3 linked regions of the Rattus norvegicus genome follow. The protein of the gene in region 1 purifies or fractionates together with the protein of each later gene. This does not show direct contact. Links are inferred from orthologs where the notes say so. Each region holds a gene or a part of one and is shown in the gene's direction. Other genes may lie near its edges.

Evidence for each region.
Region 2: the proteins of Eif3f (region 1) and Eif4e purify together in Homo sapiens (affinity purification with mass spectrometry; 3 studies listed by BioGRID and IntAct, with this or other methods). This does not show direct contact. The link is inferred for Rattus norvegicus from reciprocal best matches to the Homo sapiens genes EIF3F and EIF4E.
Region 3: the proteins of Eif3f (region 1) and Csnk2a2 purify together in Homo sapiens (affinity purification with mass spectrometry; 3 studies listed by BioGRID and IntAct, with this or other methods). This does not show direct contact. The link is inferred for Rattus norvegicus from reciprocal best matches to the Homo sapiens genes EIF3F and CSNK2A2.

Annotation. Positions count from the first base shown.
Region 1 is NC_086019.1:172,367,297-172,371,588, forward strand, and holds the start of Eif3f (eukaryotic translation initiation factor 3 subunit F), read left to right. Parts: upstream 1-1,765; 5' UTR 1,766-1,789; coding exon 1,790-2,165; intron 2,166-4,292. UniProt on the Homo sapiens protein: Component of the eukaryotic translation initiation factor 3 (eIF-3) complex, which is required for several steps in the initiation of protein synthesis.
Region 2 is NC_086020.1:229,768,137-229,772,328, forward strand, and holds part of Eif4e (eukaryotic translation initiation factor 4E), read left to right. Parts: intron 1-662; coding exon 663-802; intron 803-2,674; coding exon 2,675-2,789; 3' UTR 2,790-4,192. UniProt on the Homo sapiens protein: Acts in the cytoplasm to initiate and regulate protein synthesis and is required in the nucleus for export of a subset of mRNAs from the nucleus to the cytoplasm which promotes processes such as RNA capping, processing and splicing.
Region 3 is NC_086037.1:9,560,627-9,564,918, forward strand, and holds the start of Csnk2a2 (casein kinase II subunit alpha'), read left to right. Parts: upstream 1-1,713; 5' UTR 1,714-2,089; coding exon 2,090-2,193; intron 2,194-2,200; exon of another isoform or gene 2,201-2,343; intron 2,344-2,840; coding exon 2,841-2,952; intron 2,953-4,292.

The DNA of each region.
Region 1 (4,292 bases):
TTAAAAAAAAGAATGCTGGGCAGTGGTGGCACTTGCCTTTAGTCCCAGCATTCAGAGGGGCAGAGCCAAGCAGATCTCTGAGTTCTAGGGCAGTCAGGGCCACACACAGAAACCTTGTCTCAAAAAAAAAGAAAGAAAGAAAGTAAAAAGAACCTCTATACTTCTTACTCTGAGAAGGATCATGAGTTTCCTCTGGTCTTCTGAATAAAACTAAAACATTGGTTCACAGGGTTTGAGTCTGCTGGCTCTCAGAATTGAACCAATACTTGCTGCCTGAAGATCATAAAACACTCATTTTTCATAATCACAAATGCTTTTTTTTTATTTTCTTAATTGTGTATGCGTGTATCTATGATTAGGAATGTACGTACACGTGAGTGCAATTCCTGTAGAGGTCAGAAGAGGGCATAGGTTCCTCTGGAACTAGAGTCGTGGGTACGTGGATAGCTCTCTCTCTCTCTCTCTCTCTCTCTCTCTCTCTCTCTCTCTCTCTCTCAGAGCCATCCCTCCACTGCCAAAATTTTTTATAGCATAAAGGTTTTTTTTAAAGATTTGTTTATTACTTATTCATTCATTCATTCACTGGCTATGAATACATTCTCACTCTCTTCAGACACACCAGAAGGGGACATCATGTGGATGCTGGGAATTGAACTCAGGACCTTTGGAAGAGCAGTCAGTGTTCTTAACCACTGAGCCATCTCTCCAGCTCCAGCAGAGGCATCTTAATAATCAGTTCCTGCCCCTGCTTACAGATCTATCCTTTCTTTTGATCATGCTATCTAGCCACCAAATCCTTTCCTTAAATGTACTAGGCTTGCTCTCATTCACTTTAAGTCCTCTGCACTAACTGTTCACTCCACCAGAAGGGCTCTCCCTCCAAAACCGCAAATAATAGCTGGCTGCCTGCTTTCTTCAAGTCTCCACCCCAGCTTGATACCTTCACTGTGACCTAACCTAAACTTTCACAACTTTTCTGCCTTCATAACCTCCACTGATCATTTCTTTCTCATAGCACGGTTAAATAATGATGATGGTGGTGGTGGTGGTGGTGGTGGTGGTGGTGGTGGTGGTGGTGGTGGTGGTGGTGGTGGTGGTGGTGGCGGCAAGGAATACGATGATTACTATCATAGCATTTTCTAACATAGGATTTACTTTATCCTTTTCTTTCCCCCAAGAGAATGCAACCCTTTGTTGTTTAGTTCACCTGTATACCCAAGTACCTAAAAAAGAGCCTGGTGCATACTAAACATTTAAATTGTTGAATGAATATGCCTTCCTAGTGATACCTTATGAAGCCATCACAAAGAAAGCACTATGCATGGGCATTCAGGAAGCAGAGATAAGGAGAGCTCCAGCCAGCGTGGACTGCGGAGTAAATTATGAATCCAAAATTCAATTGACTGATTGACTAATAAGTTAAATGGATGCAACAATGAATCTCCTTTAAGACTGATATTTAATATCCAATTTAAGCCTAAAACAAGAATTGAGACTTTTACACTACTCTGTGCCGCCACCTGGTGGCAATTGTGTAGATTGCTAGTTGCTTCCTCCCCACCCCCAGGAGGTCCCAAAGTTACTAGGAACTACTTTAGCTTACTACATACTGAGTGCGCATCGGACAGAAATTAAAGCGCACACAGATCACTAAACTTTACAACCAGCCGGAAATTCCAATGCCCAATAGTGAGCAAGATATGGGTCACGTGGTACAAATTTAGCCAATCAAGGTTCTAATACTACCAACTCACGCCCTTCCGTTCTAGCCTCTCTCTTTCTCGGCAAGATGGCATCCCCAGCCGTACCGGCTAGTGTCCCTCCCGCCACTGCAGCCGCAGCCCCGGCGCCGGCCGTCACCTCAGCCCCGGCTTCAGCCCCGACCCCACCCACGCCAGCTCCAGCACAGGCTGCGACTCCCGCTGCGGCACCGGCTCCCGTCTCGTCTGATCCTGCTGTAGCTACGCCTGCAGCTCCGGGCCAGACCTCAACCTCCACGCCAGCCCCTGCGCAGACGCCGGCGCCCTCGCAGCCCGGGCCGGCCCTCCCGGGGCCTTTTCCTGGCGGCCGCGTGGTCAGGCTACATCCAGTCATTTTGGCCTCGATCGTGGACAGCTATGAACGCCGCAACGAGGGAGCTGCCCGAGTTATCGGAACCCTGCTGGGTAAGTTCTGGAGAAATTAATATTTTCTTCAGTCCATCTTCCTCCTATTCTCGTTCATCGTCCTTGAATTCTTATCCTGTTTATCTTGTTGCACCTTCTTGCTGTGGCTTGCCTTCCCAAATGATTTGAATCCTGCCGAATTTCAGTTAAGCCACAGGCATGTGCAAGGAATACGTATGAGCGATTGCATAGTTTGCGATAATTGAGCTACATATTATTTTATATTCCCAAGAGTGAGATAAAGAGAGGGCATGCTGCCAAAAACGAAGGCCCAAATGCCAGCAAATTCAAAGCCCTTGACCTGTTTAAACACAGAACCCACATTTCCCTCTTATCCACTGACCTACCGCCACCCCAACACACACAGATCGTACCCACCACCCACGTTAGGGAAGAGGATGTGTCAAAAGCTTCCTCCAGTTCACCAAAAAAAACAGGTTATTTCGAAACATATTCTGGATATATAGCTTGTTTTCCTGAACTTTTCAGACAAACGCTTGTCCCAAGGTCTTCTCACATACTGGTTCCTAGAGAAAATCCTATATATGCATTAGGGGGATATTGACCTGGAAACCAGGAAAGGGAATAACATTTGAAATGTAAATAAGAAATACCCAATTTAATAAAGATGGGGGGACCTATATATGCTCAGCTCCAAGTTCCTGCTCATGCACACTCGAGCACACACACACACACACTACCTCCCTCTCACTCTCCTTTGATTTCCATTTGGACACAAACTGTTGTGTTTACAATCATGATTCCATGTTTACAATCATTGCTAACCTTCAAGATGAAGAGTAATCTTTTCTTTGCCTGTATTACAGATTTGGGGAAGTGGTTTATGTTTAAGTAGCTTGTAAACTTGAAAAGCACTAAACACTGTTGAATATCATTCTCTGGGGACTTCTGAGCCTATCAGCCTTGTTTCCTCTCTGCCTCGGTGACAGCTTTTAGACATTGCAGTCCACTCTAGTTGTACCCATCATCTCTTACTGGTGGTCTTCTAGCAGGCCATGCACCGTAGAAGATGATCCAAGAACTGTAGGGAGGACAGGGGTTGTAGTCACACTCCAGCAGTTACTAGCTTTGTGTCCCCTGACAAATCACCGTCAGAGCCTTGTTTAGCAGGCAGGTTTTTGCTTGTTTTTGTTTTGTTTTCCAAGGGCAGCAGACATTTTTTAAAATTTTTATTTTATGTTCATTGGTGTTTTGCTTGCATGTATGCCTAAAGGTGCCAGATCCCCTAGAACTGGAGCTACAGACAGTTACGAGCCACCATGTGGGTGTTGGGAATTGAACCCAGGTCCTCTGGAAGAGCAGCCAGTGCTTTCCACCACTGAGCCATCTCTCCAGCCCCAGCAGACAGTTTTTGTGAGAATGAAATATTATAGCAAGTAGTTAATGGCTGGCATACCTCAGGTACAGCAACTGTTGGTCATCCTCTGTCACATAGGAGACCATACCATACATTCCCTTGTCTTTGACAGAGTAGGCGTTTACAGGAACTTAGAGTTAATACCTTGTCTTTTTATCAGAACACACTTGCATTTTCTTTGCCACATATCTTTCCTGCTCTTCATTTTATTTCAGTCCAGAACTCTAATCTCAGTGTCTCTGTAGTTGTAACCTTTAACCGTATATTGGCATTCTGTAACTGCCCTACTGTGAGCTTCTGTAACAAAAGAATTTTGTATCGGGGACTTGCCACATAACAAATACTTTGAATTTGCTATCTAATTTCCAGTCTCTGGAGCTGTTTAATTAAAGAAATAAATGTCTACCCAAGGTTTATGTTGACCCTGTTTTATCGTAGGACGGCTGTAGTGTATGGTTCTCTATCAGGCTGAGACCCACTCACTGCTCCCACTGTTACAGAACAGTTACTGGTAGAAAAACAAATGAAGCAGTATGTGCTTGGTAGAAGCTTAGACTTTCTTGGTTCTTAATTTGTAAAAGATTTTGTGTGGTTAAATGAAATCATCGTTGAGTTTCATGCGTCATAGAGTTGTTAGGTACTTAGAATTTAAAATTAGTCAAAGGAATTCTGCTGTAACCTTAAACTCGAGATGGAAACACAGTCCCTGTAAGTAACTACTGTACACAGGATAAGCATTCTGCTTGCAG
Region 2 (4,192 bases), on another chromosome or scaffold:
TATGGCAGCTCACAACTGTCTGTAATTTGAGTTCCAGGTAACCTGACACCCTCACACAGACACACATGCAGGCAGAATACCAGTATACACAACAAGAAACACATTAGGCTTTGTTGTTTTTTATTTATTTTTTTAAAAGTCATTTTGTAGGGCTGGAGAGATGGCTCAGTGGTTAAGAGCACCGACTGCTCTTCCAGAGGTCCTGAGTTCAATTCCCAGCAACCACATGGTGGCTCACAACCATCTGAAGACAGCGACAATGTACTCATATATACTAAATAAATGAAATATTTAAAAAAAAAAAAAAAGTCATTTTGTAAACTGCTCTGTGATTCTTTAGGTAAGGGTGCTTGTTTCCAAGTCTGACTACCTGAGTTTAATTCCCAGAACCCACTGCTCTCTTACCTCCATTGGTTTGCCACAACATGTGTGTCCTGTCTTCACAACAAAACGCAGTCAGATCTTACTCATTTGCTTTCTTGTGTCTAGATCAGGATAGCTTCAGACTTGCCAATGCTGCCTCTTCCTGACCAATGTCAGATGTCAGTTGTTGATTAGAATTAGTTTAGTTTTATAACTATCCCTAAGAGTCCTGCGCTTTCTTCTTAGTTGTTGATGATCTATATAGTCAATGTAATTTGCTATTTTTGTTTTATTTTTAGCTGCTGTGCCTTATTGGAGAATCTTTTGATGACTACAGTGATGACGTGTGTGGAGCTGTTGTCAATGTTAGAGCTAAAGGTGATAAGATAGCAATATGGACGACTGAATGTGAAAACAGAGATGCAGTCACACACATAGGGTGCGTTGTGCTCCCCTCCTTGCTTCCTTGACTATTTATTAACTAAATGTAGACGTCCTTTACATACATAGCTTTAGACAGTTGGATTTATAAACTTTTTATTTTCTTCGTAAATGTTTTCCTGGGGGCTGGGGATTTAGCTCAGTGGTAGAGCGCTTACCTAGGAAGCGCAAGGCCCTGGGTTCGGTCCCCAGCTCCGAAAAAAAAAAAAGAACCAAAAAAAAAAAAAATGTTTTCCTGGACACAAGTTTGGATCCTGTTAACGTTGAATGTGTTTGTCTTTTCTATTGCTGTAACATGGCTTTGCACTGGTGGTGCATGCACTGTCTAGGACAGCTTCCTCCCATACTTAGAGCCCATGTGTTTATAAGTTTCTCTGTTGAAAATTTTATTTTTTATAATTCATACACATAAGTTTTGCTAGAAGTCTCTTTGATTACATGAAAATTAGTAAAAAGCAAAATGAAGTTTGATTCTAAGTGGAATTTGCAATGAGTCATTGTTGACTTGTCATTTTTCATCTTTTAGTATTAACATTGACCTGTTAGCAGTGTTGTATTTCTTCAAAAAACAGAAATTGCTACAGAACTTTTTGTGTCAGTATTAGATGTTTTGAAGTTTTATAACTACCTAGAAGAGGCTTGTGCTTTCTAAGTTGTTGATGATCTGTATACATCTTAACTTCAGTTTTCCAAGGAAAAAGTTTTTCAATGCTTCCAGCTGACACAGTTTAACTTCTTGTTGCTGTGTGCGCGCACACGCACGCACGCGCACACACACACACACACACACACACACACACACACACACACACACACGTACATTTTTTAATAGTAAAGAGTATTTTTAAAAAAACTGTTACAATGTCATTTCATACTAATTGCCTTAAAAAAAAAACAAAAACAAAAAAACTTTGGAAGAAGTATGATTCTGCCAGGGGTAAAACTGTGGAAATGGCACTTTTGTTTTAGTTTTACTGTTTGTTTTTTGAATGTTCTGTATTATTTCTTTCTAAGATTAAAAATTAAGTTCTCTGCTCTTTTCTCAGGTTTTTGTCGGTCTTATTTTATACCCACTTACAATCTAGCCACACAGCTTTCATTTTTATAGCTTTTGTTGTTTCTTCTCAACCTTTAGATGTGTTTCATTCCCTGAAGATTAGACTGTTAACACCTCGACATCCCTCCACCCACCCACCCACTTGAAGCAGGGTCTCTGTGTACCTAGCCCTGGCTCTGTCAGAACTCACGCTGTAAACCAGAGATGTGCCTGCCTCTGCTTCCCAAGTGCTGTGATTAAAGGCGCGCACCACAATGCCCAGCCCCCTTTTGGCCTTTTAAGGAGAGATTTCTCTAATACTGCAGATGAGCTTTAGACCCTCTGAATTGTAGTTGATAGTCATATACCTAAGCCCTGTTTAGTACACATCACATTTTATTTTTAAAGTAGTCACAACTAATTTGAAAATTGGTTTGTGAAGTTGATACATAAGGCAAAATAGAATTCATATGTAAATAGAATTTTTATTTTACTTTTTGAGATAGGATCTTGCTATGTTAACCAAGCAATTGCTGTGAGCCCGTGAGCTGATTCTGATTTGCCCGTTTCTGTTTGGTATAATCGTACCTTTTTATTAGTAGTAATAATAAAGACAAACCTGGTGGGATTCCAGTTGTCTGTAACATGATTAAAGTATAGTTGTGAAAGTAAAGACTAATTTTTAATTTTGCTAGTTATACTGAAAGAAAATGAACACATTTTGATTTGCATTTTTAATGCATCGACTAATACACTACAGCTTTATAAAATGCATTTAAATCCTTTTTCTTTTTTAAAGAAATACTAATGTTTCTTGTCTCCTGTGTCTTGTAGGAGGGTATACAAGGAAAGGTTAGGACTTCCTCCGAAGATAGTGATTGGTTATCAGTCCCACGCAGACACAGCTACAAAGAGCGGCTCCACCACTAAAAATAGGTTTGTTGTTTAAGAAGACACCTTCTGAGTATCCTCACAGGAGACTGCGTCACGCAATCGAGATTGGGAGCTGAACCAAAGCCTCATCAAAGCAGAGTGGACTGCACTGAAGCTGACTCCATCCAAGTGTTGCTAAGATATAAGAGAAGTCTCATTCGCCTTTGTCTTGTACTTCTGTGTTCATTCTCCTCCCCCACCCCAATTTTTGCTAGTGTGTCCACCATCCCAATCAAAGAATTACAGTATACGTCACCCCAGAACCCACAGATGTGTTCCTGGCCCGCTCTGTAACAGCCGGGTAGAGTTACCACGACACACACTTGCCTTTCCACAGTATTCGAAAAAGAACGTGCATTTCTGTCACCTTAGCAGGAAAAGATCTGGTTTTGTTCCACTCCATGCAGGAGCGGATTTGCTGGTGTGAGAGTCTAAGTACAGCTTTCTAGCAACCTTCTGTTTTCTGTCACAGCATTGTCCTTGCTGTCCTCTTGCTGATGGCTGCTAGATGTTAATTTATTTGCTTCCCTCCTTGATAACATTAGTGATTCTGATTTCAGTTTTTCATTTGTTTTGCTTTTGTTTTTTTCCTCATGTAACATTGGTGAAGGATCCAGGACTATGACAGAAAGGTGGAATAAACATTACATTTGTGCATTCTTTGGTAATTTTTTTGTTTTTTGTAACTACAAAGCTTTGCTACAAATTTATGCATTTCATTCAAATCAGTGATCTATGTCTGTGTGATCCCTAAACATAATTGTGGACTATAAAAATGTAACACCATAATTACATTCCTAACTAGAATTAGTTGTCTGCTTTTGTATCTTTATGCTGTACTTTAACACTTTGTATTACTTAGGTTATTTTGCTTTGGTTACAATGGCTCAAGTAGAAAAGCGGTCCCATCCATATTAAGACAGTGTACAAAACTGTAAATAAAATGTGTACAGTGAATTGTCTTTTAGACAACTAGATTTGTCCTTTTATTTCTCCATCTCTAGAAGGAATCTGTACTCCATATTGCAAGGCAGTCTCTTGTGTCTTCTTAGTGTCTTCCCCATGCACAGCCTAAGTTTGGAGCACTAGTTTATTATTATGTTTATTACAATTTTTAATAAATTGAATAGGTAGTATCACATGTAATTAAACTGATGTGGCTATCTTTTTTGATAAAGTTAAGACACAGTTTTTCAGTCTTAGGTTAATAATGTACTTAGAATATGTTAAAATTCATGAGAATTGGGATTTTGGTGTATCACCATTTGATAGGAACAGTGGCTATAAACTGAGTGTTGAGTTTAAGATGTTTTTACTTAATGGCCAGAAAATTAGAATAAGGAAGGTTAGGGGAATGTGCATTAGGAACATTAGTGTTACTATCTGAATAAAACATAATAAACAAGTATTAAGAACTAT
Region 3 (4,292 bases), on another chromosome or scaffold:
TTTTTTTTTTTTAGCAGTGTGGACTGGATGTTTTGCTGAACCACCCCTCAGTTTGGCTGTGTCTGGTTGGATGCAGGTAGAACTTTTTTGGCAGGTGTAAGTGGTGTGTCCTTTCTCCATGAATCACACAGGTCAGTTCGTCCCTGCATCTGACCTTCAGGGTCCCCTTTGTAACCAGCATGATATCTGTGGGGCAGTAGCACCATGTTGATTGAAGGCCTCCAGCTACAGCAGGCACTGAGTGACCTGGTGGTGACCACCCAGCCCAAGCCATGCCTTCAAATTGTTTTCACAGGAAGGGGACAGATGGTAAACCAGGAGAGAACTCATGTCAAGTGGATGAGTCATTGAGAGAAGTATCAACTTCAGAGAAAGTGGCCTTTAAGGAGTTGAAAAAAAAAGCCAGTCATTTGTGGGGTGGCAGAGGTACCCCCTGGCCAAGCTCAGAGAGAAGAAGGAACTGAAGATGGACATGTGATGCTCTCAGGGAAAGAAAGGTGATAGCGTTTAATAGCAGCATGAACATGTAGTGTTTTAATATTGAGCACTCCCACTTTACATGGTTTAAGTCTCTGCATAGCTCTGTGACATAGGTGCTGGGTTGATGCTACAAAATTTGAAGCACAGAGACGTTGGGTCATTGGCTCAAATCAGCATCACTTGTAAGCTACGGAACTGGGACTTGAACCCGGATAGTTAGGTATATAAAGAGGGAACATGGTCTCATCTAGAAAACAGTGGTGGGGGTAATTAGAAGTCAGAACAACCTGGGTTGGGAGAGGAGATCCTTGTTGATAAAGAAATGGACAGGAGGGGGCTGGAGAGATGGCTCAGAGGTTAAGAGCACTGACAGCTCTTCCAGAGGTCCTGAGTTCAACTCCCAGCAACCACATGGTGGCTCACAACCATCTGTATTGGGATCCAATGCCCTCTTCTGGTGTGAAAAAAAAAATATGGACAGGAGAACAAGATAGTCAGGGACCCCAGGAAATCAAAGACTGTTCAAAGCTTGTATGTTCACCAACCCTTAGTCTCTCCTTCGAGGCCGAACTCCTCACTCCCCAGTTCTCCCTCCTCTCAAACAAATAAACAAAAATGCATATTTACAGTCTTAAATTATGTCCCACAAACGACTGGTTCAATACAAAGGGAAAAAAAACCAATAATTTTATGGGGAAACTACCCAGCGGACTCTAGTTTAACCAAGTAGCCTAAAAGATGACTCAGTGGGCTACCAGGGGAATTGGACGGGGAACTGAGAGGATAGGGTAGATCTAGTAGTAGACTGGTTCTGCATGGAAGTTCTCTGCCTCTTGGGGTTGAAGGCGGGGAAATCTGTGGATAGCAGGGTGGAGTCTAGAGGGGGAAAGAGGAGTGAGGAAGGGAGACAGTTTGAGGTGAGGATTCTTGGGTTTAAAGCAAATCAGCTCAGGGCCAGTATAGGAGGTCTTGGTGGTTGACACGAGGTGACTGGACTGAGGGGCGATGCTAAAAGCGGCGCTAGTCGAGGGCAAGGGCTCCTAAGGGGTGACCTGCGGGTGGGCAGGCAGACTACCACTCTGCTTGGCGGGTGGCGAGATCGCTGAGGGGGCGGGCGCCGGCCACAGTCCCCCGGCACTGTAGGGGGCGCTGTGGGCAGGGGCGGGCTGGGGCTGGGCGGTGGCCGCTCCTGGCGAGCTCGGCCCCTTTTCCGGGTTTCCTCCGCCTCCTCCTCCTCCCTCTTCGCCGCCGCCGCCGCCGCTGCCCCTCTCCCGGCCGGTGGCTGCCGCTGCCGCTGCCGCTGCCGCCACCACCGCCTCTGGGGGCCGCGAGCCGAGCGGAGGCCGCCGCGGAGCACGAACCCCGCCGTCCCGCCGGCTGCCGAAGGCCCCGGGCCGGCTTGGCCGGCGCCTCCCGCGCCCCCGGCCCGAGCGTCCGTCCGTCCGCCCGCCCCCGCGGGCCCGGCCTGGCGCGGACGCCCGCCGCCGCCGCGCTCCTCCTCCTGCTCGGGCGGTCCGCGGCCCGCCGCTTCCCGCGCCTGCCGCCCCGCGCTCCGCGCCGCGCCGCCGCCGCCCTCGGCGCCCCGCGGCGCCCCCCGGTCCCGCCCGCCATGCCCGGCCCGGCCGCGGGCAGTCGGGCCCGGGTCTACGCCGAGGTGAACAGCCTGAGGAGCCGCGAGTACTGGGACTACGAAGCCCACGTCCCGAGCTGGGGGTAAAGCCGCCGCCGGCCGCCCCCCGCGCGAACCGCACCTTGCCGGCCGCTCGGCCTCGGGGCTGGCAGGGAGGCCCGACCCCGGCCGCACGTGTCCCCGGCCTCTCCTGTCCGCCCGGCCTCGGTCCCCGGTCCCCGGCTCAGCAGCCGGTGGGGAGAAGCGTAGGGTCAGGGTGGGGGCGGCCCTTCCTCCTCACACTTTGGGCTTCCTATGGGATGGGAAGTCCATGTCTGTCCTCTTGAGCTGTTAAAATCTCTACCTTTTTACTTTCTGAAATGAGGCTGGGAGGGAGGAACATTTTGAACATGGCCCCCCTAGAGGGTGTAAAATGGGAGGCAGGTGCTGTGGAGCCCCGGGCAGGCGGGCACCCCAGTACTACCAGGGGGATACCTTGCTCAGTCCACTTAACAGGGCTCATAAGGCCTCATAGCTGCCTTTTCTCCCTGTGCTTAGAGTCAGTGAGGTTAAGAGCTCTGCAGAATGACGGGAGCCAAGCTTCTGTGTGGCTTTCATTTAGAGAATGAGTCGAGGTGTGATGTCAGGAATACTTTGATTAGCTGGACTTGGTGGATGGATGTATAGTGGACATACGCTTGCTTAATCCCAAATCCTGGCATTTATGTACAATATCTCTTGCCTTTCACAGTAATCAAGATGATTACCAACTGGTTCGAAAACTTGGTCGGGGCAAGTATAGTGAAGTATTTGAGGCCATTAACATCACCAACAATGAGAGGGTGGTTGTAAAAATTCTCAAGGTGAGTGTACTACAGCGGCATGTAACCTTTTACCCCCACAGGGCCAAAGGACCAGCTATTCCAGAATAAGCGGCTCCAGCTCTTGTGTATCTTCTGCAGCACTCCTACCCCATTTTTCCTGTGAGCTTTTGAGAAAATGTGCAGGCTGGTCTTAACGCTGACTTTGATAGGTCAGGAACACTTAAGGTGTAAATTCTGAACTTCTCAAACAAATATGTGAGAGGGGTTGTATCTGATATGAAACAAAGAGATGTTTGCAAGAAAGAAAAGCATTTGCATGTATCATGTCCGTGTAGGGCTCCTAAAATGTACTAGTTACTCTCTGCTCCCAGTTACTCCAGAAAGAAAGTTGTCCAAACAAAACATAACTGGGGTCTTCTCAGAGATAAGTTTAAAGCCAAAAATGCAGGGCAACTCCCCCCAGTTGATAGTTTTGTTTCATTTAGAAGTAAAGTTTCAGGTGGGCTGGATATAGCAAGCCATCACTAAAAGAGATTCGGGGCAACAGAAGAGTACATTTTAGCCCCTGAAATAGTAACCGGAACAAAACTGTCTCAGTGGCAAGACTAGCCCTCTCACTTTGATAATGATAGGGCTTTTGTTATCACTCAAATGAAGACATGATCTTAATGAGCATGAAGAGTCAGCCAAGTTTCTGTACAGGTGATTGGAGATTAATTAGTGCTTTGTAGGTTGTACAAGAAAGTGATCCTTAGGACCTGAGCGGTTCTTCATGGTTGTCAGGTCATTTAATGCATATGCATGTCCCCTTAGGATCTGAGCAGTTCTTCACGTTGTCAGATCACTTAACATGTATGTGTGTCACTCGTGAAAGAAAGACCGCTGGAGAGTGGTAGTACTTCACCTGATTTTCACAGTGCCCAGTGGAGGTTCCCTGAACAAAATGGATTGAAAAGCTCATGCCTCAGGGCAGTCCTCATTTAATTGTAGTGTAGATTTTAGCATCGTGTAAATCATCTTTCAAAAAAAAAATAGCTGCTGCTAACGTTCCTTACCATCCTAGCCTAGTGACAAGGAGCAGCACTGCTGCTGAGGCCGGTGATGCTGCCACTGCTGCCCAAGGCACTGGTACGAGGAGGAAGGAATGATGTGGAAGGCAGGGAGCTTGGCCCACTAAGTATGACTTGTACATAGGAGGTGTGTAGTTACGGATGGGTGTGTTTTAAGCAGAGAAATGTTTCCTTCAGGGAAACATTGCTGGAGGAAGCCATACAATTTCATTACTTACATAAATGCATTTTGAATAGAAGTTACTTCAGATGTTTTCCCTTTAAGGAATAAGCAAAACAAGCATTGTCAGGAACATCCATGTTCCGTTG